2 linked regions of the Arabidopsis thaliana genome follow. The protein of the gene in region 1 interacts with the protein of each later gene in a pairwise test. Each region holds a gene or a part of one and is shown in the gene's direction. Other genes may lie near its edges. The genes, in order: PSF2 and PSF1.

Region 1 (12,790 bases):
TAAACACCAAAGCATCTTGAAGTCCATTCCAGTCTCTGTTAAATTCCACTATTCCGGTTCCCGAATGACCGAAACGGTCCCACACAGTACGAACTCTAATTGGGTTGAATCCTCTTCGGATTAATTCATCCTTAAGTTTTGGTCCACTCTCTCCAGTACAAGACCGACCATCTTCTGTACTCGTCGTGGGAATATTAACCAAAACTCCTATCCCAGCCACACCACAGATACAACTTCGGTTAGTAGAGAGGCTATAAATCCAAATAGTGCTAATACTACGATACTTGTAATGACATAGGAGTATGCGTCATCATCATTACCTTTCCAAGGCCACACAAGTTTCTCGAACTGAGCATCATCATAAATTATAGGAGCATCGCCGGTTTCAGCAGGAATGAATGATGTTCTGGCTTTTAAGCGCTTAGATATAGTAGAAGTAGCGTAATGAGCAAGATCTTTAATAAGGTATTTGGCAAGAGCACGGTGACTAGCCTTCTCAGTCAAACTTCTTTTCTTGGATTGGCTATTACCAACTCCAGAAGCATGCTGAAGAATGTCAACATACAAACCAACCTTCTTCTTATTATCGGGACAATAAGGACACAGGAAAGTCCGGTATGAGACTTTCACCTCGAGCTTTCCACTCTTGAGTTTTTTGTACAGATTTTTCTCAAAATCACTCAATTTGTTGTTCATCACCGCCTCGCGTTATTGTTTTACATCTACGAGCTGCATAATCTAACTACATTGTAAGTAAATGAATTTAGCCATCATTATCTCCACAGGAAACAAAAAACACTTGAAACCTTACATACTTGGATCTAAGACAAAGTGAGTATGAAACATTCTGAATAGTAAGTCTATGATTCAGCTTGATTAGATAGATCCGGAAAAAATGTTGACTCCTCTACTTAACACACTCTCTATGTTGTATGAAACATGCATGTCTGATTTCTGAAAAAATTATGAATAATTGGGGTCTAATGTCTTACGAAATTTCAAAACTGAAGAAAAAAGTCGGCATCAAAACGCGCATCCCCAAAACCAAGAAGCAAATTGGGAGAGAAACGATGAATGTCAAAGCAAAGCAGACGTTTAAGAACTGTACCAGAGAAATCGCGTGTAGAGAAGAAGAGATTCAGCTCGAAACTTCAGCTGAGTCTGGAGATCGTCAGATGTTTTGTTTCCAAGTAATTTCGATTTCTTTTGGTTTTTTCTAAGTTTGTTCCCATTTTGATAGAGAAGCAGCAAAAGTACTTGGAGAGATATTCCAAGAAACCTCTGTTTGTCTTACACGCGCCATTGTCGCGCGTTGAAGTCGTCGCGAGAAAGAATTTGTTAACCGGAGATAAAAAATTGTGATTATTCGGTTCGGTTTAGGAAAGGCTTTTATGATGGGTGACTTCTGAAAAAGTCAATTGTTCAAGCAGTGCTTCCAATTCCTATTTAAAATTTACCTAGAACAAAACAAAGAAGGCATGAACCAGTTTAATTTTCTGCAAAATTATTTATCTTTTTGTTCACTAGTTACTAAAATAATTAGACATGAAGATTGTTCCATTGATGCTCATTGCCTTCGTCGTCATACTCTTGTCGGCGGCTCCGATCAAAGTTAATGGTGATGAGATGATGGGCAGATGCATGCATGAGATTGCAAATTGTTTAGTTGCCATTGATAAAGGCACCAAATTGCCGAGTTACTGTTGTGGAAGAATGGTAAAGCCACAACCATGTGCCTGCAAGTATTTTATCAAGAACCCTGTGCTCTTGCCCAGACTTCTAATTGCTTGTCGTGTTCCTCATCCTAAGTGTTAGTTAATATCTACAGATTATACATTTACAACAATAATATAGCATACTTAATTATTTTGATCGGGATTTGTAATCTACTGATTTGAATCCAATCTAGATTTAAATCAAGGTTTTATATAGTTAAATGAAGCACTTTTATATGTATCACAATATGAATGTATTGTACACTTTGTAGTTACTATTTTGTTTGTTTCCATTATTAATCAAAATTCACTGTGTAACTTCATTCTCTTAAAACACACACACATATATAGGACAATCGTCTTTTCAAGGCTCCAAATACTAGAAATTTGAAGGATTAGATTTTACAATGCCAAGAGATAACGAAACTCGTATTCGTGAGACCTCACTTCTATCAGTTTTTTCAATTGAGATTCACTTTTCTTGTTCAACCCCTCCATCGCTGTTTCCTTGAGCTGAAAGCAACGTTGGGCTGGTGGTAATTGGCTGCATATCCATTCAATTAACGAGCCTTCATCCTCAGCGAAATCCCGTAGACGTTTATGCAAGAATCGCGGAATCACAATCTTTTTCCTTCCCGAGACACCGATGGAAGCTTCTAGATACTCTGTTCTTGCTTTGATTAGTTCGTTCACCACATCTTCTGCTGTATAAACTCTCAACTGTATCATGTATATAGGTGATCATGAACAAAGATGCTTTGTTAGTTACTACCGTTGAAGCAACACTTATCATATTTGAAGAAATTGAGTGAACTTACTGCAGGTGAAGACCAATCTCCACGACAAAGCACGAACATTAGGTTTGGCTCTACGCATCTGAATCCGTAGCGTGTCTGTATTCTCACTTCGCTTTCACCGGCTGAAACCTTTTTATTCGGATAAAAGAAACATTTTAAAGATCAGTTATTACAACTTCACAGGATGATATATATGAGTACTTACAGATTCCCTAGGTTCGCATGGACTCTGCAAGATGGATCCTTCGATATCTAGAGCAGACAGTTGTGTACCTCCCACGTCAATTGTTGCCTACAACACAAGTCAATTTTGTTCATTAACTTAAGTATGCGAAGTTTAAAGATGTTTCTTGTTTTGTATTAGTTACCATTTTGAGAATGGTCAGCAGTTTTTCCTTTGATGAAGGTAGTCCGTGTTCCAAAAATCCCTGCAAACAAACAAAGTTATTTCCGAAATCTTGACTTTGCTTCAACTAAATATGAATTGAGTCATGGAATTACATTCATAACGCAGGCGTTGTAGGTATTGATCCAGAATGCCATCTTTTTCTTGTGGTTCAAGAAACTCAAATCCACTTTGCTCAACTTCTCCTTCAAAACCCTGCATGTGTGTTTAATTATACAGAGATCATGAAATTCTTGTGATCTCATCAGGTAAATAAGAAGGAAATCTGAATTTGTAAGTACCTCAAATTGACAAGAGAAGTGGAGCAATCGGATAAACGGCTAACATCAATGGAGGTTCGAGTGATATGGATGAAGTTCTTGTATTCTCCTATGTCTCTAAGAGAAGTCCCCATGACAGCTCCATATGGATCAAGATTAGATGCGTTATGGTCATACACCGATTTGCGTTTGAAAGAAGCGTTCTTGAGGTGTGTGAGGCTCAGCTTTGAAACAGTTTTTGACCCTTCTCGCTCACGCGATGACCTGTTGAGTTCCAGATAGATTCCCATCAAGCACTTCACCAGATCTTCCGATACTCCATTTGGTGTCGTCTCTTGCACATTATTCTTCTCTTGTGTTCTTGACATTCCATCAGAAAAAGTCGAAGAATGGATTCTTGATGAGAACTCCATGGTTGATCCAATTGACGCATGAGTACGTGGACTGTTCATTTGAATATCCTTGACAACATGATGATCTCCATAACTCTGGGACTTTGATCTCTGTTTTAGATCCTCAGATCTCATCTTTATAAGGTCATTGTCAGCGTCGCAAGGAAGATGATTCTGCCTTTGTAGTAGTCTCTTAGGGTTCATCATCCTCTCTTCTTCTCCTTCATCAATACTGTCTTCAAGTTCTTTGTTCTCTTTTTTCTCACTATACACATCAAGTTTCAAGTCTTGGATTCGTTTCTCAAGACAGAGTATCTCTGCCTCAACCGTCGCAAGCTCCTCTATTAGCTCTTGAACCTATACAAACTCAAAATCAATAAGTTCCATTTTATTTCATTTCAATCTCGGAACTGTGAGTCTAATGTGACTTACCTGAGGAGGAAGAAGCAATAAAGAGAGACGAGGCTGAGACATGACGGGACCACGATGCATATCACGTAGAGCCTTGTTTAAGGCTTGTTCGTCCTCTAGCTCTCCTTGCATTTTCATCACTTCTCTTTGAAGACTTCGCTTTTGCTTCTTCTTGATCAAATCATTCTTCTCTTCTTCGCTCTTATGCTCATTCACTTTTGATGGCTGCAACAAAACCGATAATATGATATAACTTAGGTTTCCATATGTCATTGTTGGGATTCCAAATTAATATGATAGGATTATAAATACGAGTTTGACTTACTTGTTGTTGAAGGGAAGGCTGGGGGTGACGACGATGATGATCAAGAAGAGACGCAACGCTAGCGCCAGGTTGATCTTTGGTTTCGTCTTCCACAAGTAAGTCTTCCAGTTTCATTTTCGTGTTCTTTGGAGAGTCGAGAGAAACTAGAATCAAATTTGGTGAACCATATTACAAAAACAAACTAATGTAGCTGTGAAGATATGATTAGGTGATAAATAACAGTCGTGCCTGCAATCAAGTCTTATGTTGTTGATTCACCTATTGGTTTGGGTCTTTTTAAAAAAAGATTAGGAGAAAGTCGTCATGACGTGAAAGCCATGAACACAAAAGAGTTTTATTCTGGTTAGAGATGATTTTTTTTAATAAAACTAAAACCTTACCTTATTCTACAGCACAACATTGCTTTACCATCTCTGGTTGACTAAATATAATTAGTGGTGGTGTGATTCGATTTGTTTGTTTTTTCGACTAGTCTTTATAAACAAAGTGCTATCAGTTAGAATAAAATTGATTTCGTTTAAAATTCCGGTTTCGGTTTGAGTTCGGTTGAATTAAATACCGGTCTAACCGAAACCTATTGGAGTTATTTTAGTTTCCCGCTACACTATCATCGGATTTCCCGCCATCGTAGAGAGCCACAATCGGAAAGTCGAAACTCTCTGCTGTGTCTCTCCCTATTTTGCTCTTCTTCTTCTTCTTCTCCTCCTTTATCTTCGTTTTTTCTTTCCTGGGTTTGCTAAGCTACATCCATTTCCTTCTCTTCGATCACAGTGGTTACTGATATTTCAATCTTCGGGAGTTTCGGGCGTAGGGGAACTTCATTTACTGTCCGTGTGTAGAATATCGGAAGAGATCGATCTGATCTTCCAGGAATCACACAAAATCTAACCAGGTAAACTCAACTTCATATCACTAATCAGGAACAAATGATTCTCTCTTACTATATCCGGCGTTTCGTTTACAAGTATGTCCTCAGAATTTGCGAAATTTGATTGTTAGATTTGATCATCAGATGCTTTTAAAGGTTTGCTGTTTCATGATGTTGCTGAAATTGGAAGTTGATATGTGCTAAAAAAATAAGGAGGAACTTTCTGTAGAGTGTAGATAAAGTGTTTGATTAAATGTCTCTACCAAGTATAATTTTTATCACGCTTGCATTTAGGTCTGGAAACTGAGATTTCTTGAGATACATCAATGGCTGGCCAGACTGATCCTCATATTTCACTGTTTTCTCCACAAGAGGTCTTTATTCTCCTCTTTACTTGTATGCGTTTCATGTTCTGTCTGCAATAGTTTAATTGATTAGCTATATTCATACCAGGTTGAGTTTATGGCAGAGGACGAGCTGGTCGAGATTGTTCCTAATATGAACATGGAGCAACTCAATTTCATCAGTGTAATCTCTCTTGTTTTATACAATCCTGTAATCATTTCCCTTGTAACCTATTTTGTTAACCATGTGATTAATATGTTAATCAATGACAGGGCGATTTCGGTCGGTTCATTCCTCAGATTCCGACAAAGGTGCCTCTGTGGCTTGCAGTGGCACTGAAGAGGAGAGGAAAATGCACTTTCCGGCCTCCGGGGTGGATGTCTGTTGGTAAGACAATTTCAAATTTAGCAGATAAATTTCAAATGTTAACGAACATTAGGTGCTTAAGTGTTAACTGTTTCTTGTTGCTTCTTTGTTTGTGAACTAGATAATTTGACTCAGATCTTGGAAGCAGAACGTGAATCTCAGTCGACATTCCAGGCATTACCATTTAGTTACGTGGAGATTGCCAGACTACTTTTTGACCAGTAGGTTCTTAGACTCTTCTTGTTTCTTTGCTCGCCCTTACATTTATAACATCCAAGAGTGCTGATGAGTATCGATCTCACTTTTGGCAGTGCACGTGACGATATTCCAGACATGTATATGGTAATTTCATACATCTTAATTTGTCTCCCATCCTAACTATGTGTTCGAATTAAGCTTTTATAGCCGTTTATGAATTTTGTATAGGTGAGATCCCTAGTCGAGGACATCAGAGATGTACGGCTTCACAAACTTGAGACTAACTTAGGATCATTTCAAGGTACATCTGCAGTAAAGGTAATTGTTTTTTATTGCTACTTCTTGACATTAGCTTTTTCTCATTACCTCTAAAGAGTGATTTTTAACAATAACAATATCTCTAATTTGAGAATGTAGATCTCTAATGTATCGGCAATGGAAGTAAACATAGTACGCCCATTTGTGATAAGAGCCTTAGAAGCATTTTATAAGCATGACAAGCCAGAGGCTGATGTAGACAGAGACACCAGAAGTAGTAGACAACAGCGTGAAACCAACAATGAACCAAGGGTAAGGCTCTTCAGTCTTCACACTTCTCACTCGATTTTTCCCCCTTTTTTTTTAAGACAAATACAAACCTCAACACATGTTTTGCAGAGACCTCTAAGGCAACGCTAGGTAGCTTCCACGCCCTTGCCTAAGTGAGTAGAAGTCAGGTATCTTCTGTGCCAACGTTGGTCGAACTCCCTGAGAAGTTAGAACACCAGCAGCATGTATCGGTATCGTTAATATATGACTTGTTTCTCCTGCATTGTGGTACATACTCCTTTGATATTAGCATCTTTTATGTTGTGACGAAAAGTTCACTTTAATGAACAGAAATATTAAGATGGCAAACGAGTTTTATGGGTGAAATGGTCACACGAAGGATCCCATATGTTTTCATTTCAAGTATGTGGGCTGAAATCGATCAAACACTTCTGCAAAATGAGCTCAGTGTTTTTTTTTTATGTGATACACAATTTACTGGAGAGCACAAAAGGTTGAAACATACGAACTCATAAACCAGCTAGTTTAATGTGACAATCTAAGTATGAAAAATGATTGAATTTTAAAACTGAAAGAATGATGAACCTGAATCATGACAGGATATTTAGAGATGGTACTGTTCAAGTCAAGGCTTATACTTAACAGTAATCAACGAAACATACTGATTAATTAAGACACGCAATGATATGATTAATGATCAAGATAAAGTTATGAATGTAGCTGCCATATCGTCCTTATCCATCCCAAACTGGCACTACGCTATGCTCTGTTTCTTCATGCTACAATCAGTGATACGTCTTTCTTCACGTTGATCACATTCTTCTCTATCCCACCAATTCCGATGTCCCTCGCCGTCAAGGATCTCTCCACCGCTTCATCCTCTTCATCTAAGGCGATTCCGGTCAAGATCATTCCTCTCCAGTATCCCGATTCCACCTCTTCTGATCCTCACTGTCACTCCATTCCCTTTAATGATTTCTTCTCCCGATGGACGGCGAAGATCAAGCGCATGACGTTCTTCGACTGGATTGATGCAATATTTCCTTGCTTCCTTTGGATTCGGACTTACCGGTGGCATCAGTACTTTAAGCTCGATCTTATGGCTGGTATCACCGTCGGTATCATGCTTGTTCCCCAGGTCATTTTCTGTTTCTTCATTTCCGATTGATTGTTGATTCTATCTTCCCTGAATTTATACCATCTAGAGATAAGCTTAAGTGAATCACAGGAACTCTAATGAGTATGTTTGTTCTTCTTGTTTAAGTGAGTTTAGTTTCTAAAAACTTCTGTTTTGATGGATTTGAGCAGGCAATGTCGTATGCAAGGTTAGCTGGGCTTCAACCAATATACGGTCTATGTGAGCTCAATATGAATATACCCTTTTATGAATTCATCAATGTGTGTGAGAGATACTAAGCTATTCCCACTTTTGCATGTAGTTATTAATCTTGTTTGGTGCAGACTCCTCATTTGTGCCGGTATTCGTGTATGCCGTCTTCGGTTCATCCCGTCAGCTTGCAGTTGGACCTGTAGCATTAGTTTCCCTTCTCGTTTCTAATGCCTTGAGTGGAATTGTTGATCCATCTGAAGAATTATACACTGAGCTTGCCATTTTGTTGGCTCTTATGGTCGGAATATTTGAGAGCATTATGGGGTTCTTGAGGTATTTATAGTCTTCTCTTTGTTTGTGCAAGGAATCCTGTATTTTTTGTAGTGTTAGAACAAGTTGTTCGTTTGTTTTTTCAACCCAGGCTTGGATGGCTTATTCGTTTCATAAGTCACTCAGTCATTTCTGGATTTACAACTGCTTCAGCTGTTGTAATTGGGTTATCCCAACTGAAATACTTCCTAGGGTATAGCGTTTCTCGGAGCAGCAAGATTATGCCAGTAATTGATAGCATAATAGCTGGAGCTGATCAGGTCTGGTCTTCAGATTCTTAATGGTGTTGCAATTCCTTTTGGTTCAACATACCTTCTATGCCTTACTTGTATAACTTCATCTGAATTTCTGTTTTGTAGTTTAAGTGGCCACCTTTCTTGTTGGGATGTACCATTCTGGTGATCCTTTTAGTAATGAAGCATGTGGTATGAGCCTTGTTCTTCAGTGTGTCATTAGGATACTTCTTATGTTCCCTTACTTTTATTATGCTAAGGCATCATTTTCTGCGGCAGGGAAAAGCAAAGAAGGAACTTCGGTTCATACGAGCAGCAGGACCGCTCACAGGTCTTGCTCTTGGTACAATCATTGCAAAAGTGTTCCATCCACCTTCCATCACACTGGTCAGATTGCTAAAGAATGAAATTCTTATATTTTTCCCTATTGAAGCTACATTTTTTGTGAGTGTTTTCCGTAATTGATTGCAAAGTTTTTAGGATTTCTCAGGTGGGAGATATACCTCAGGGACTTCCAAAGTTTTCTTTCCCAAAAAGTTTTGATCATGCCAAATTACTGCTTCCAACATCGGCTCTCATTACTGGTGTTGCCATCTTGGTGAGACATCATTGTCATTAACTTTTTCCTGGACTTACGTGAGTTGCAGCTGAACCTAATCATGAGAATCTGTAAATGGATGGATATGGCTGAGACATGGAGTAATTTGACTTCCTGAGAAGCAGAAGTGGAGTTTCTTGATTAGTTTCAGCTGCAGTATGCGCATGTTTTTGTGTTTTCTGATATGCTAGTTCGACTTATCCAGGAATCTGTAGGTATTGCGAAAGCACTAGCCGCGAAAAATAGATACGAATTGGATTCAAATTCAGAGGTATAAACCCTAGAGAATAAAGAAAATCAAGTGCAAGCGGCTAGCCCAATTCTTACCATTAAATGTTGTAACTTGTTCTTTTAATGGCTACATCTTATGGTCATTGAGAGTTCTGTCTGTTTTTCCCGTGACTTGGCAGTTGTTTGGTCTTGGCGTTGCAAATATATTTGGGTCACTATTCTCTGCATATCCAACTACAGGTACGTAATCTTGACTGTTGAGATTAGTAGACAACATGTAATGTGTGTTTTCTATGATAAATTCAAAACAAAAGGTGATAATATTTTCTAAGTTGTAGCCTGAATTTGATGTATCTGTTAATTCCCTAAATGTGTCATAGGATCCTTTTCTAGGTCAGCTGTGAATAGCGAAAGTGAAGCCAAGACTGGTCTATCAGGCCTTGTAACAGGAATCATCATTGGATGTTCTCTACTGTTCTTGACCCCAATGTTCAAATTTATACCACAGGTAGGTCTGTGTTGAGTATTTCTAATTCCAGTCCTGTGCTCTCTTGTTTTTATTTTTTAGTCTGAAACTCTGGAGAATTTTAAAACTGAAATCTGGCTTCTAATTCCTGTCTGTTTCTCAACTACGCAGTGTGCTTTAGCAGCAATAGTTATCTCTGCTGTTAGTGGTTTGGTAAGTTCAAATAAACCCACCAGAAAAGAATCTGGGGTGTGTACTTATTGTCTTTGGTTATTGAGCAATATATATTCACATTTATTCTTTCTGGATGTTTACCATATTAGGTGGACTATGAAGGGGCAATCTTTCTGTGGCGTGTGGACAAGAGAGATTTTACTCTTTGGACCATCACTAGCACCACCACTTTGTTCTTTGGAATAGAGATTGGGGTCCTCATTGGTGTGAGTATGCTCATACTCACTCAGCTTTATTTCTGTAGCTGATCATATCTCTTTGAAATTAAAAGGAGTGATGATGTTGAAAGTAGTATAACCACCTACATGAATTGTGCAACGCTTTTAAAGGACTCACAGAGTTGTAATGCTTGGAATTTTTCAGGTTGGTTTTTCACTTGCATTTGTTATACACGAGTCTGCAAACCCTCATATAGGTGAGATAAGTTTCTGTTCAATTTGCTTGTTTTGTTTCTCAGAAATGGTTTTCACTCATATCCTTGATCACATACCATTACATATGTTTTGGCAGCTGTCTTGGGGCGTCTTCCAGGGACCACTGTGTACAGAAACATGAAACAGTATCCAGAGGCATACACTTACAACGGGATTGTGATTGTTCGAATCGATGCTCCCATTTATTTTGCCAACATAAGCTACATCAAGGACAGGTGAAATTGACATTTGGTTCCTGACTTGCTTTCTGTTATGATCCACATAAAGAATCAACACAACAACACCATGTTTCGAAATTGCAGGCTACGAGAATATGAAGTTGCTATCGACAAACACACAAGCAAGGGCCCAGATATGGAGAGGATCTACTTTGTTATCCTGGAAATGTCTCGTAAGTCCAATGTTTCTTCTATTCACAGTTCGAAACTTACAGAGGTGATTAATCTAATCGACAATGGGTGGGATGTAACGCAGCTGTCACATACATCGACTCGAGCGCTGTAGAAGCTTTAAAAGATTTGTACGAGGAGTATAAAACAAGGGGCATTCAGGTGCAAACCTGATATCATCATCATTATTTAGTACTTGTTTCTAAGTTGTCAATACCTTGATGATTAGTTGGTTTTCTATGGATCAGCTAGCGATTTCGAACCCAAACAAAGAGGTTCTCTTGACTCTAGCAAGAGCAGGCATTGTGGAACTTATTGGCAAAGAATGGTTCTTCGTGAGAGTACATGACGCAGTCCAAGTTTGTGTTCATTACGTCAATAGACCCACAGATGTAGAAGAAAGCAGCAAACCAAGCTTATGGAGAAGAAGCGGCCTGAAAAACTCATCGACCTACACTGAAGTTGAATCGAACATAGTTTTAGAGGAACCATTGTTGTCAAGAGAGAAATAGAGACATTGAACACTTCGATTCTTTTTACAATAATGTAATGTATGTATCAAATAAAGCATTCACTTTGGTTGAGAAAAATATGATTCCCATTTCTCTGTTTCAACCTTAAAAAACTATTTCTTATGTAATGTATAGAAAAGCACAATAAAAATTGGAAGTCATAAGATTTATTGATGTTAAGAATAGAATAATAGTTTGGCAACCAACAGAGATAATCCATAAGACGATCAAATCAACCAATCCTGGGACATCTGGGGCAATATCATAGAAATAGAAATCAAAACGATTAAACTAAAAGATAGAACATGAAAATGCATGAGAGCGCCTTTAGGTTTTGGGGTCAGCAGCTTTGTCGTTGTGAGGATCCTTTTGATTTCCAGAAGCTTCAGCTTTCAGCATAGCGTCAAGTTCGAGATTCAAACGTTCCTTCAGCCTCAGCATCCTCTGACACGCAGCGTTCAATTGCTCTGGATTCATCGATTCGAATTGCTTAGTATCTTCCCACCAAAACCTTGGGTGCTCAACCTCCGCATCCTCCTCGTCTTCATCTTCCTCCTCCGCATCATCCACTGGTGCTGGATTATTCTCGAGGAAAGTGTTAACAACGCCATTGACAGAGGGAAAGCCGAAGGAGAACATAGAGACGTCCGATTCGGAGGAAGAAGGAGGAGGAGTAACGAAGATGGCGATTTTGGTGGAGGGATCTTCGGAGACAAGTTTCGCTGCTTCGCGGAAGAGATCGTCGCGTAGTTCTGCGAAATTAACAGATCCTGATGCTTCCTTCTTCTCTACCTTCTCCATCTCCATCTTCGTCTCCGTCTCCGTCTTTTGCCTCTTAGAATCTCCCATTGTTGTACCGTTTCGAATTTTGATTTCACACTGTTCTTAATTTTTTTTTTATAAGCTTCTTCTCTTCTTAAAGACGTCACTAACCGACTCCAAGCGGAAAAAACCCATCGAAAATCGACGATGGTCCTTGATTCATCCACGTGTACGGTGGAGATGATGCTGCGTGTGAACCCAATTCAATTAAAAATCTGAATTACCAATTTTCCTTTACAAATTGGTTAATATCTACTTTATTAAGATAAGATCAGTAACTAATTAATTATTATAATTTTAATTAAATGTTTACCCAAAACCAAGTTCGAAACGATCTGGAATTTTGTTAAATGCAACAAAACAAAACAAAATTAATCTGATTTTAACATCTTCTGATCTCCGGCCCAATCCAATAGGCTTAATGATCTTACATCTTTTTTTTTTTGGGGCAAATCCAATAGCCTTTAATGATCAAACTTTTTCTGTAGTTACACCAAAAAAACTGAATATCTATTCTACTTCCTAAATGCATTAATGTTAGGCAATCATAGTCAATGTTGTAGTTGAATAGACTAACTA
Region 2 (12,218 bases), on another chromosome or scaffold:
TACTACACTTATATCGGCGTTATACAAGCACGAGAGGTGTGTGATTGGAAATGGATTGTGGAACCTTATGGTCCTCAAGGGCTGTAAGCCGAACCTCACCACTTTTAATGTTAGGATTCAGTTTTTAGTGAATAGGAGACGAGCTTGGGATGCAAATGATCTGTTGCTGTTGATGCCTAAACTCCAGGTGGAACCGGACAGCATAACATATAACATGGTTATCAAAGGGTTTTTCCTTGCGAGGTTCCCTGACATGGCGGAAAGAGTTTATACAGCGATGCATGGTAAGGGGTACAAACCCAATTTGAAGATATACCAGACGATGATTCACTATTTGTGCAAGGCAGGAAATTTTGATTTGGCTTATACAATGTGCAAGGATTGTATGAGAAAGAAGTGGTACCCAAACTTGGACACAGTTGAGATGTTGCTCAAAGGGCTTGTGAAAAAGGGGCAGCTTGATCAGGCTAAGTCGATCATGGAGTTAGTTCACAGAAGAGTACCTCCTTTCAGGTCAAAACAGTTGCTCTCCCTTAAGTCCATTTTGTAATGTTTACATGAAATGGAACAAATTTGCTACATGTACACGACAATGCGGCCAAAAGAATTCTTTCTTTCTTTCTCCTGAGTTTATTTTGTATAGCTGTGGTGGAACTGGAAATGGGATGTAGCCTCATATTAGGAGGCACACTTATCTTCCAATCAGATTCAACTATTTGTTGTTCAATGTGAATAAAGCTTAGGATGATTTGGAAACTTCAATGGAGGGATACCCAGTAAGTCATGGATGCCTCTACAATCTTAAGTTGTGATAGCACAGAACTAGTTTACCTTTTGTAATGCTACTTACAAAACATGTTGTTGATTTCAGCTGGAGAGCAAAATGGCATACACAAAGCAGGGACCATGTGCTGAAGAAACCAAAAGGATCTTCGTCTGACGATGCAAAAGCTCTTGAGCACCTGGAAAAATGAGTTATGTTGTAAGCTTCATCTAGCCAAATTAAAAGCACTAAACATATAACAAAGGATATCAACGTTGATAGCTTTTTCTTGATATAGCACGAATGTAAACAACAGAGAATAGAACAGAGACAACATTACCAGCAATGAATATTTTTATTATTATGTCGAATAAATACATTTTCCCACAAGTGACAGAGCAAACAAAATTCACATATTTTTGTCTATTACACTTTGGTGTCAGACTGACTTGTTACGTAGATTTATGGCGGTGGATTATAACATTGTAACTTTAAATATCTTTTAACGTAAGAAACAAAACTCCAAAATTGGTGTTTATTTTTAAAAATAAAAATTTGAGGGGGCATGTATGTTTGTTTAGTTGATTCACGTGTTCTTTGTGTCTGAAAATTCTGAATTTGATGATTTTGAAAAAGGAAAAAAAGATACGAGGTATCCTCAATTCCAAAAGGATGAATGATACAACTCATATATACAAGATTATAGTAAAAAGAAGGGATGCATATAAAGAAACATAGACATCATCGCCATCCATCCTCAGATCAGTTCCGTAGTTTACTGGATCACGACACACACACATATACACGTGTACATATAAGCCATTCTTATCAAAATGACCACCTTCCTCCTGAATTCTCATTCATTATATAGGCGTATATTTCGGAATTCTAAGTTTTGTTGCTACGATCGAGCCAGCGTTCTGTTTCTGTACGTCTCTCTGGGTAAGAAAGAAAAAATGAAGGACGAAACGGGAAACCCTCTGCATATCAAGTCTTTGAATCACATCTCTCTTCTCTGTCGATCCGTCGAGGAATCCATTAGCTTTTACCAAAACGTTTTAGGGTTCCTCCCTATTCGCAGACCTGACTCTTTTGATTTCGATGGCGCGTGGTACATATATACATACTTACCTACATGGAGATATTATATATATATTTCTCTTTAAGAATTGTTAAATTTCGTAATTATATACTTATTTTGTGTGATTATAGGTTGTTTGGACATGGAATTGGGATTCATCTTCTTCAATCTCCTGAACCTGAGAAATTACTCAAGAAAACAGAGATTAATCCCAAGGATAATCACATTTCTTTCCAGGTACCCTTTTTTTTTTTACTTTATCATTTTGACCCCACACCTTTTTAAATGCCTCCTCGCTAACCCCTTTGTTTAAATTGGAGCTCAATAAACTCCTTTTAATTGTGATTTGTGAGACCAAATGATGGAAGTTTTAGCTTTTCAGAGGGTATTAGGCAGCCAAATGTGTTGTTTATTAGTAGTACAGAAATATATTTGATAGAAGAATGTGTGTGTTGAATGCAGTGCGAAAGCATGGAAGCAGTGGAGAAGAAGCTCAAGGAGATGGAGATAGAGTATGTGAGAGCAGTGGTTGAAGAAGGTGGCATCCAAGTGGACCAACTCTTCTTCCACGACCCTGATGCCTTCATGATCGAGATATGCAACTGCGATAGCCTCCCCGTTATCCCTCTCGCTGGAGAAATGGCTCGTTCATGCTCTCGACTTAATATCCGCCAGCTCGTTCAGCCAACTCAGATCCACCCCTAGTTCTCTCTGTCTTCCCTAATTTCTGTTTTCGTAAATAATTTCAAGTGTCCATGTGATTGTCTCTTTGATTGCGTGTGAATATAATTGCATGTAATAAACAGCTAGTGGTAAGTTGATGTGATTCCTCAACCGGGAAAATGACCATTTGCTTCACACTCTAGTCTCTCTCTACCATTATTTGAGATACCAAACTCTCTCTCTCTTTTGTTGTTATGCTTCTAAAACATGTGGTTATATGATAGTAAGAAACCTTATAATACAATTGAAATCGCCTAAGAAGCTTAGAGAGATAAGTAACATATGTTATCTGAAACACGTGACATGAGACATCTATTTTTTCTGTAAGTGGAATATATCAGAGAGCTCCTCTAGGGAGGATGTTATCGCACTGAAGAGAAAGTTGTCGCCGGAAGTTTTGGATGAAAGCTTCGGCGCATTTGTCGACATCATGAATCTTAGGCTTGCTCTCTAGATGACGACTACCATTTGTAAGGGTTGTCACCGATTTTCTCTTCTCTGTTATGACTTTGGAGTTGGTACTGTGCACAGAAAGTGGTTGTAAGGAACTCATTTTCCTGATCTTTTTATGTGTGTTTTGGGATAGTTGGATGGTGGTGAGAGTTCTGATTTTAAGGGCTGTGTATTTATAGGATTGTTTGTATGCCTAAGTCTTTTTTATCCCTACGGAAGCAACTCTTGAATTATTGAAAGGAATAGATAACTAACTAATAAGAATGTTGAATTTAAACGTTTAGATAAAATATCGCTTATATTATTAGTAAACCATATCCTTTCAACACTTATCCACTTAAATCTAAACCCAGTAAGTATCAGCATTTAATTAAACCAAATATCTTGCAACTTCTGCTTTTGTGATATTCTCTAGATCATATTTATATATACGTTTCTATTTAAATAAGGAAACGAAGCATCAAATCTAAAGGTTCTCTTTGCAAAAGGGAAGGCTTACATGAAATCTAACCTAACAAGTGGAATTGATTACTCTTAGTCATAAGGCTACAAGTAGAACCTAACGACTAGAAGATAAGCCACCGAATCCGAAACTCATCATCGTCCACCGCCGTCGTTTTCCTAGCTCCGATGACTTATTTATTCTCTTAAATAACAGATATACACAGAATGGGCCGTTTTTCATATTCATCTTTGTTTCGATATATTTATGAATGGGCTATTTTGACCCAATAATTAGCCCTTTAACGTTCAAAAGGCCCATACATATTCCGAGATTATTCGTTTTAGTATGTGGCTATTACAGATGTACCCCTTCTATTTTTTGTTTATAAATCATTGCACGTGTTTTGAATATTTTTCGTAATTACATGTGTTCCCCTATATTTTGGCTCATTACATAAATTTCTCATAGTTTTGATTATGCATTAATACTAAGATTGTTTCAGCTATTTTCTCTAAGTTTTTTTGGTTACTGATCCAAAGGTTTGACTTGATTTTTCTCAAAACGAGTTTTCTCTTGTCATAAATTATATAATCTTCCCAACAACCGTGAGAGAGCTCTACATCCATCGTATGGCTCAAAAGGTAATCTTGTGAGCTGGAAATGATTGAGTGCAATAAGAGAGAAACTCAATGATAAGGGATGGACTGGTGAACTGAATTTGCCAAAACATGACTATATCATAAAAGCATTTGGCGTGTGCACAAAAACGTGGCAAGATTTTCAATCTGAAAACATGAATTCAAAGGTATGCAGATGTGATCCCGGACTGAACCGACTGTTCTAAGAAGCTTGTGTCATCTGAAAGACAAGGAGGAGGGTACACTTGACCCGAACTAGAACCATAAGCTTCCCAACAGAAAGACTCTGTGAAACCATCACCGTTTGATGGTTCAAGATCAATGTCTTGTAGAAGTATGTTGCGACATGGTGAACTATCGCTGCAAGAGATCTTGATTGCTTCCTTTGATGCTGAGGTGCCCCTCACGTGAACAAATGAGATGTTCTCAATGCTAATAGCTGATGTCTGCAGTTTTTGAGTTTTAGACAATTTTTCAGGTTCAATATTGAGCTACAAAAGAAAGATTTGGCACAAGTTCTTTACCTGATTCGCACACGGCTTCCTAGAATCGCAGTAATACTGATCGATGATGATGGGGTTTGACACATTGTTCATCTTGATGTTCCTAAAGATAATTTTTGAGACCAAACCACTCCCTCCCTGGTTGAAAGAAAGAGGATGCAAGCAAGTTAAGTTCTTTTCATCTCAGAACGTAAATGGGAACTTTGATAAGATGGAATCACCTGCCATGTTTTGATCCGAACACCATTCGCAGTGTCAGAGATGATGGCCGTATCAACTGTTATGTCTCTAACTTCTTCCCAAGATTTTGATTTTCCTAGGCTTCCAATGCTACAACAACAATTTTATATTAGATTATGCTTAGTCTGTTTCTTATCTGTCTTGGCTTTGGTTACCTTATGCCATGGCCAGGACCACATATAATGTTGCTGATGGAGATCTGTGTAGAGTTTTTAACTATCGAAATGCAGTCATCTCCTATACAAGAAAAACAGATCCGATTAATCAGCAAAGAGCAAATATTAGATTCAAGTTCTGGTTAAGTACACTGACCTGTGCTGACAGTAGTGTTGTCTATAACGATACCACGAGAGACGCTTATGTGAATTCCATCAGTATTGGGACTAGTAGCAGGAGCTATGACCTTTAAACCAGAGATGGTCACACGGCGACAGCTGGTTAAGGCAATGTGCATTTGTTGACTATCAATCACATTGAGGTTCTCAACTCTCATATTCTTGCACTTGTGGAATGTTAAGGCCTACAAAACCAACATAGTCTTACTTTAATAGAGAGTAACCACACCACCAATAAAGGAAATCAATTGGATGCTTACCGTTGGAGCACCTCGACAAGGCTGCAAAAGAAATGGTTGAAAGAAAAGTGAGAATTCCCTTTTACTCTCTGAAGATAACATGTTGAGAAAGAAAAAAGAGGCAACTAACGTTGGAATGATTGTGTTTGCAAGATCTTTCCCACCATTCTTGCCCCATCCCGTTAACAGTGCCGCCTCCTTCAACAGTTAAGCGGCTCAAACCATGGAAATATAGCCATTTTCGGCGGTTAAGACCTTCCCAAACATCTGGATCATTGGGAGCAATGATTGTACCAGAGATCTAATGGCCAAAAAAGAGAGCAGAAAGCAATGAAGACAACAGAACAAAGACAACAATCTGAAAATATCCACAAAGATTCTAAATACCCCTGTGGAAGGGAAGGTTTAACCTGGAGTGTGAGTCTTGCTTTACAAGGTCCAGAAAGATCAATAGGCCGAAGGAGACAAGTGTAATTTTCAGGCACCAAGATTCTGGTTTTGACTTTGGAAGAACAAGCTGTCTTCCAAGCATCTGCAAACGCCTGCGTTCCATTATCACCCGACACAAATTATATAAGTATCTACCGTTGCTGTCTGATTTCCTAAATCCTACCCATAGATTCAAGATTTCACAGTGAAAAGAGGTTTCTCGAGGGTTTAGCGAATCGTTACTTTAGTGTCGTCGGTGACGCCATTGCCTTTGGCACCAAAATTGCCAACGTGGAGGAGCCGTTCGGATCTGGGTCGGGTCGAGCGCGACTGTCTCCGCGGGAGCTGGAGGAGCGATTCGAACGAATTCGCGTTTGCGGTCAAAGCGAGTGAGGAGGCTACGACTAGTAGTAACAAAAGAGTGACAAGAGTACCGCCGCGTGAATAACTCATAATTTAGATTTTTAATTTTTAGGAACCGAATGGATTTATAGACATTAAACTCAAGATACTATAATTAGGCTTATGTATGATTTTAGAATAAACAAATGAATATAGATAGAGTCTATTTATAATCAGAATTACAACAGATCTAGATTCCCTCCTCTCTACCTTGAGAGTGAGATTTAGTTTTCCTGATTGTAGTGATTATGGTGAAATGACGTTATGTTTAGCCACAAAGAAAAATGGCAAGATAGTTTCTAGTTTTCAGGGGATTTAGTAATGACATTCTTTGAAAATTTTCCATACATTATTGATTGATTAATGTAGGTGATCAATCATATAATCAAACAGAAAATTGCAAGATGAAATAAATGTATGTGTTTTGACCCAAAAAAAAAAAAAAAAAAGAAATAAATGTATGTGATAAACCCTTTTATCACTAATTTAGAAATAAAAAAAAAGTTTGATGGTTATGGGCTAAAGCCCAGATAATCAGGGTATTATATGTTGCACTAAACTAAGCCCATATGATTACGCCCAATAAAACTTTTACAATGGATGGACTATGTAAACCTTCCAACTTTCAAGAAACATTCTCATACTGGTATATGATCACTATATCTATATCTCACACCTCACGCAAACTAGTAGTTATTTACGTATCAAACAAATAAATTAAGTGTTTATTATTGGTTGCAAAATATGTGTATAGTTTTATTTTTCACTTTTTTTTTTGCAAAGGCTCCAACTTTTTGGAAAAAAAAATAGCAGTGGATGGGTGGGAACTGTGGTGCCATGCTTGATTTGGACATAACACAGAAGCGAGTCCGTGAGGGATTTGTATCGGCTGATGAAAAATTAAAATATATTTAATCAGAAATTAGAGATGAGAAAATGGCATTGGTCCTTTATCCTAGGAATGAAGAATCTGATGTTGTTGCAACTAATTTGTCAGAATGTCAGGCTCAGGTCCACTTTAGCCGCCGCAGTCAGCTGCCCAGTTTTGAATTCATTAAGATTATCAAATTTAATTACTCGATGGATTAATCATAGGAGACGAAGAAGATTGTTGATCCTCTGCTTTAATCTTACTTGGAAATATTTGGAATTCTCTCGGGAAAGAAAGAGAGATAGAATAAAACAAGAATATACATGAAAATCTAAGATCAGTCTGCAACAAAAACAAAACAAATATAAACATATATATAGTCTCTGAGTTTAAACAGTTTTAACATTAAAGCACAAACAAAAAAACACAAACAAAAACAGAAAGAAAAAGATTCATAAGAAGCAGTATAAGTATATATACTCTCTTTTTGTTTTGTTTTGTTTTCTCATCTTTGTGTGTGTTCTTCTTCTTTACTTTAGACTTTAGTTCATGCCTATCTGGATCTACGCTTCGCTGGCCTTTTCCTCTGATTAACCTTCTTCCCCGGCTGTTTCTTCCCGAAGGCAGAGCAGCACCCAAACGCCGACAGTCTCGGCGACGGCGGGTCCACCGCCGGAGACACTCTCCCTGTGTTTCGATGGTGGCGGATGGCTCCTCCTCCGTTGGATCGACTCCTCTCCATACCTCCGTCAGTTCTGATAGGTTTGAGTCCTTCTCCGGCGATAGGTTTGGTTGTCTGATCCTGTACTTCCGACGTAATCAGCTTGGCCTGTTCGTCCTGTTGTAGAGTCTCGCCTTTCCGGTCGTTGGCCGCTTGTTGGCTTAGCTCGGCGATGAGACGATCGTCCCAGACTATACCCGAAGAGCCCTGTCGACGGAAAGAGATGGTGGATCTCTGAAGACCCGCCATGGACGGCGCTAACTGTTCCTCCTCCGTTTTTTTCTTCTTCTTTTACTCTGTTTTCGTCGTTTTTGATGTGTGTTGCTAAAAGTGGTTCATCATTGTGTTTCAGACTAGTTCATTTCTTCCTCCTCTTTCTTATCTCTTTATTAGAAGGCACTTGTGTCTTTTCTAATTAATTTTCTTTTGTCGTCTTATTATTTCAATTTTATATGTTTTTTTTCTTCTGGTTCTCGAATTATCCAACCAAATATAATCGCGATTATCATGTTTAGATGCGTAATCATTGTATTTTATTTGTTACGTATTTTAAACGGGAGAGAAAAAACTGGGTCAAAGCAGCGGGTAATTATGGGAGTAGAATAGTACAAACAACGTTTTTGGGTGGTATGTGTTGAAATTTCAATTATCTTTTTTTTTAACATTAAATTTAGCTATAGCCACTTAATTATCTGCCAAAAATGATTATTTTTCTTTTCACGTTTCAGGCAAAGATCATCGCATAGCATATAGTTTTATCAACCATAATCCAGCATGGCTTAATTTTTTTTAATATTTCTTAAGGAAATCAAGCGTTGGTGACTCGTCGTTGTTCATGCTTGATTTGGTTAGTTCAAAGTTGAAACTTACAAGTATTAGTAGATGACTGATTCATCGAGTTTTAAAATAATAATCACGCAAAACTCGAACCTAATATTTCCTGAAATATAATGGCTCAACTTTGAGAGGTGTGGATTATTTTATTTTGTAAGATATCTTGCTATATGGCTTGCTGGACCATCCCATTTGTGTAATGTGGAGACAATCCATTCATGTGCTACTTTTTTCATATGGACAACAAAATTTGCGTGTTCATATCGTAATTAATCCCCAATTAAATCTACATCGCAAATCTAATATACCCATGCATTTCAAATCTCGCTACAATTATGGAAGTCCTTGAGTTGATTATTGAAGCAGCTAAAACGTAAGCATGCGAAGAAAACGGCATTTAGCTTTAAAAATTTGATGATTGTCAGAAAGAGAAAGCAAATAATTGGAAAAATAAGAGCGTCTTATCCGTAAGTGTAGATTTGATGGAACACCAAATATTTTCTATCAATTTTTTTTGGTGATGGTTATTTTGGCAAAACCAACATGATCAACGGGTTTTTTTTTTGTTAATTGTTAGCCATCTAAAGATATAGTGCATATAAACAAAACAAAATAATAAGAATAAAAGAAAGTGACACAATGTCAATCGCATCAGTACCAGTCAAATGGATCATCCTTATCCTCAGACCCAAAAGATTTACTTACATTAGGGAGTAGTATTCGGATACATGTACACGCATATAACTTCCAAATGTTGAAAGATGTATAAAAACATGTTAGACATTTACCAGTGACTTAAAAAAATATAAGTGATTTATGGTAGTATATATCACACTATATTATGAGTCATGACACTCAAATTCAAAATCCGTTTAGTACAAAAGGTTACAAGTCTAGAATCGATTTTTGTAATTTTTTTAGTATATATGACATTGGTTTGACTGTGTTACAAAGTCAAAGTAAAATCCCAAAAAAAGAAAGAGGAATATTTTGGTTCTGAGAAAAGACATAAAAAAAACAATAGAGAAACCTTGTAAAATCCCGCCAAAATTTTCACAGAACCCCTAAAAAAGTTTGAGTGTTGCCGCCATCCATAGATTTATTCCACCATCTTCATCTCTGGAAATCCTTCGCCGCCGCGAGAATTGACATTGTTTTGATTGCATATAAATCTCCGCAACAGTATGGTACGTTTTGTTTAGATCTACGGTTTTGTTATCATCCGTTAATTCGGCGACATCAGCAACGATTTGCTTCATCCACAAACCGAATAGGTTCGGTTTAAACATAAGCCTGGGATTTGAGTCAATTATTTGCATTTGCCTACTTTTTTCAATTTTCTGGGCACGCCAGATGTTTGATGAATTGCTCGAATAGATAGATGTCAAAGTGAAGCGAGGAGACCCGCCGATTCGACATGTACGGGAGAAAAGGGTATCAGCTTATCAAAGATTTTGCCACCGGAGAGAAGGGTCAGCTCAAACCTTTCAACGTAAGACTTCAAGCTCCCACCTTTATGACACTAAATCTCTCAATTTATACAGGCTATTGAAATTTTTGAGTATCTGTAATCTAACGTATATCAATCTTGCAAGTTTGGCCAGTAGGTTTTGATTATAGGTGACGGAATGTTAGCAAATTTCCAGTCCTGGGTTGATAATATCCAATTCTGTAATTAGAAAGTATTATCTTGGTTAGCTATGAGGTAGATTAGTTCTTTAACCTCTTGTATTTCTAACAGAGCAAACTCTTTGATGAAACAATCGAAGAGTGTGACCAGAATCACCATCTTATCCAGTCCTTGATAAGGTATTGATCCCCTTTTTTACACTGTTGCATTTTTTCAATCCATCACAAAAGACTTACTTCTGATTCATTGAGGTTGATGTTTCCATTTACAGGAAAATGCAACAAGAAGGTTTGGATGTTCAGAACAACAGAAACGCTGACCACTATGGAGCACTAATTCACCACCTTGCTTTGATCCGGAACAAGCGCTGCCTCATGGCTTATGTGTGAGAACCACGTTTCCTATCAGTAACACTATATCTGGACACTCAATTTCTTAAAAATAGCTGCAATTGGTGTCGCTATGCAGGTACAACCGAGCAGAAATTGTGCGTGATTTGGCATGGAGAGTAGGGCTTGAACTTCTCGACCTTCCCTCTGAAATCCAAGAGAAGCTCACTACACTAGAGAAGGAATACTTCAAAAACCATTCGGTTGCTCTAAAATCATACATGGGAAAAGTAGGAATCGAGTTGAATGTCGTAAGTCCTCTTTCCACCACCCTGGCTTTTATTAATTAATTGGATTTTTCTTGTTTGGTGGACTTGTAACTAGTAATCTCCTCTTGATCCATTTCTTGAAGGATATGGTCCCTCCTAAAGATCCTTATATCAAGGTCAGAATTTTGGATGATATTGATGAAGGAATCGTGCTGAGTGACAAAACAACAAATTTTGCCCGTCATTCTATGCATTTCCTCAAACGTACTGATGCGGAACCATACATTGCTCGGGTCAGTCTTTTTCGTTATTCCTTCCCTAAAACTAGAATGATCTAAAGCCCATAAACTTCCACGAACTGAGAAATTCAAAGAATGAGCCTTGCTCAAATTCGCAGAGATGTAGATAGAACCTTGATTACAGCCTTCCCTAGCAGGTTTAATAGGAAAAAAGAAGACTGCTTAAGATAGATTATAACTGAAAAAACGAAACTATAGAATTCCTGAAAGATCTGAATAGTGATGCAAATAGAAGTTTTAGGTTTAGAATATGCGTGAAGTGTAATCTGAAGAATTGACTTTTGTCACATTTCTTGGTACCGTCAAGATTACATAAGGTCGAAACATTTCATAAACTGTGAGTGTATTGGATTCTTTGGTTTTCCATGTGATGTTTGTCATAGTATGCCAAAGGAGTTGCTAAGCAAATGCAGTCTGATTCTACTGCCTAGCTTAAAAGGGGTCTCGTGTCCCATCATTTGGATAAAGAGTTTCTAATTGTTGAGATGTGAATGGGATAACAGGGCCAAATGGAGGAGCTGACAGGATGATTGATCTAATCAGAAGCTGTGGTGGGCTCAGATGAATCACGGTCGGGTCTGTGATCAAAGAATGTAAGCTTACTTAGCCTTGTATAATTGTAAGACAGGAACATGAAACCAGAAACCTCATACTCAAACTCATGTAACAATTATTTATCTTACAAAGTTACTTCTGTAGTGCATAACATTCACTAGCAATAATGCAGTTTTGACAAGCTCAAAATTACCTTTTTTCCAATGGACAATCTTTCAAGGCTTCAATACTCAGTCTTTTTGTTACTTGCTGGCTTTTCACTATAGAAGTGAACCTGCAGCTAAAAAGATAAGAATCTGCCACAAATGCTGCAGAAAAATGAGAATATGTCATCTACAAAACATACCTCAAGATTAGCTTGTAAGATCTGAATAGTGATGAGGCATTTACTCGAACGATGATCATTGTCACATCTCTGATTAATGTAAACGATAAACGGATTTTTGATGTTTCCATATA

Evidence for each region.
Region 2: the proteins of PSF2 (region 1) and PSF1 interact in a two-hybrid assay, tested with the Arabidopsis thaliana proteins (one large-scale study listed by BioGRID).

The regions. Positions count from the first base shown.
Region 1 is NC_003074.8:3,966,575-3,979,364, reverse strand, and holds PSF2 (PSF2), read left to right. Parts: upstream 1-4,924; 5' UTR 4,925-5,198; intron 5,199-5,468; 5' UTR 5,469-5,500; coding exon 5,501-5,548; intron 5,549-5,627; coding exon 5,628-5,702; intron 5,703-5,791; coding exon 5,792-5,906; intron 5,907-6,006; coding exon 6,007-6,106; intron 6,107-6,196; coding exon 6,197-6,227; intron 6,228-6,311; coding exon 6,312-6,401; intron 6,402-6,500; coding exon 6,501-6,653; intron 6,654-6,740; coding exon 6,741-6,761; 3' UTR 6,762-7,185; downstream 7,186-12,790. Other genes in the region: FDM3 (XH/XS domain-containing protein), read right to left, coding at 1-207, 321-696; AT3G12545 (Bifunctional inhibitor/lipid-transfer protein/seed storage 2S albumin superfamily protein), read left to right, coding at 933-1,170, 1,544-1,815; AT3G12540 (ternary complex factor MIP1 leucine-zipper protein (Protein of unknown function, DUF547)), read right to left, coding at 2,118-2,435, 2,534-2,641, 2,718-2,804, 2,881-2,940, 3,014-3,113, 3,200-3,927, 4,003-4,206, 4,307-4,420; SULTR4;2 (sulfate transporter 4;2), read left to right, coding at 7,474-7,770, 7,941-7,989, 8,094-8,295, 8,384-8,552, 8,652-8,717, 8,805-8,912, 9,016-9,123, 9,329-9,394 and 9 more; AT3G12510 (MADS-box family protein), read right to left, coding at 11,717-12,238.
Region 2 is NC_003070.9:30,149,382-30,161,599, forward strand, and holds PSF1 (partner of SLD five 1), read left to right. Parts: upstream 1-9,659; 5' UTR 9,660-10,094; coding exon 10,095-10,169; exon of another isoform or gene 10,170-10,418; coding exon 10,419-10,486; intron 10,487-10,578; coding exon 10,579-10,692; intron 10,693-10,775; coding exon 10,776-10,947; intron 10,948-11,048; coding exon 11,049-11,243; 3' UTR 11,244-11,682; downstream 11,683-12,218. Other genes in the region: AT1G80150 (Tetratricopeptide repeat (TPR)-like superfamily protein), read left to right, coding at 1-550; GLYI7 (Lactoylglutathione lyase / glyoxalase I family protein), read left to right, coding at 1,597-1,874, 1,976-2,081, 2,307-2,549; AT1G80165 (cotton fiber protein), read right to left, coding at 2,905-3,120; AT1G80170 (Pectin lyase-like superfamily protein), read right to left, coding at 4,265-4,549, 4,628-4,744, 4,828-4,936, 5,002-5,083, 5,159-5,366, 5,442-5,462, 5,551-5,721, 5,831-5,962 and 1 more; AT1G80180 (uncharacterized protein), read right to left, coding at 7,676-8,092.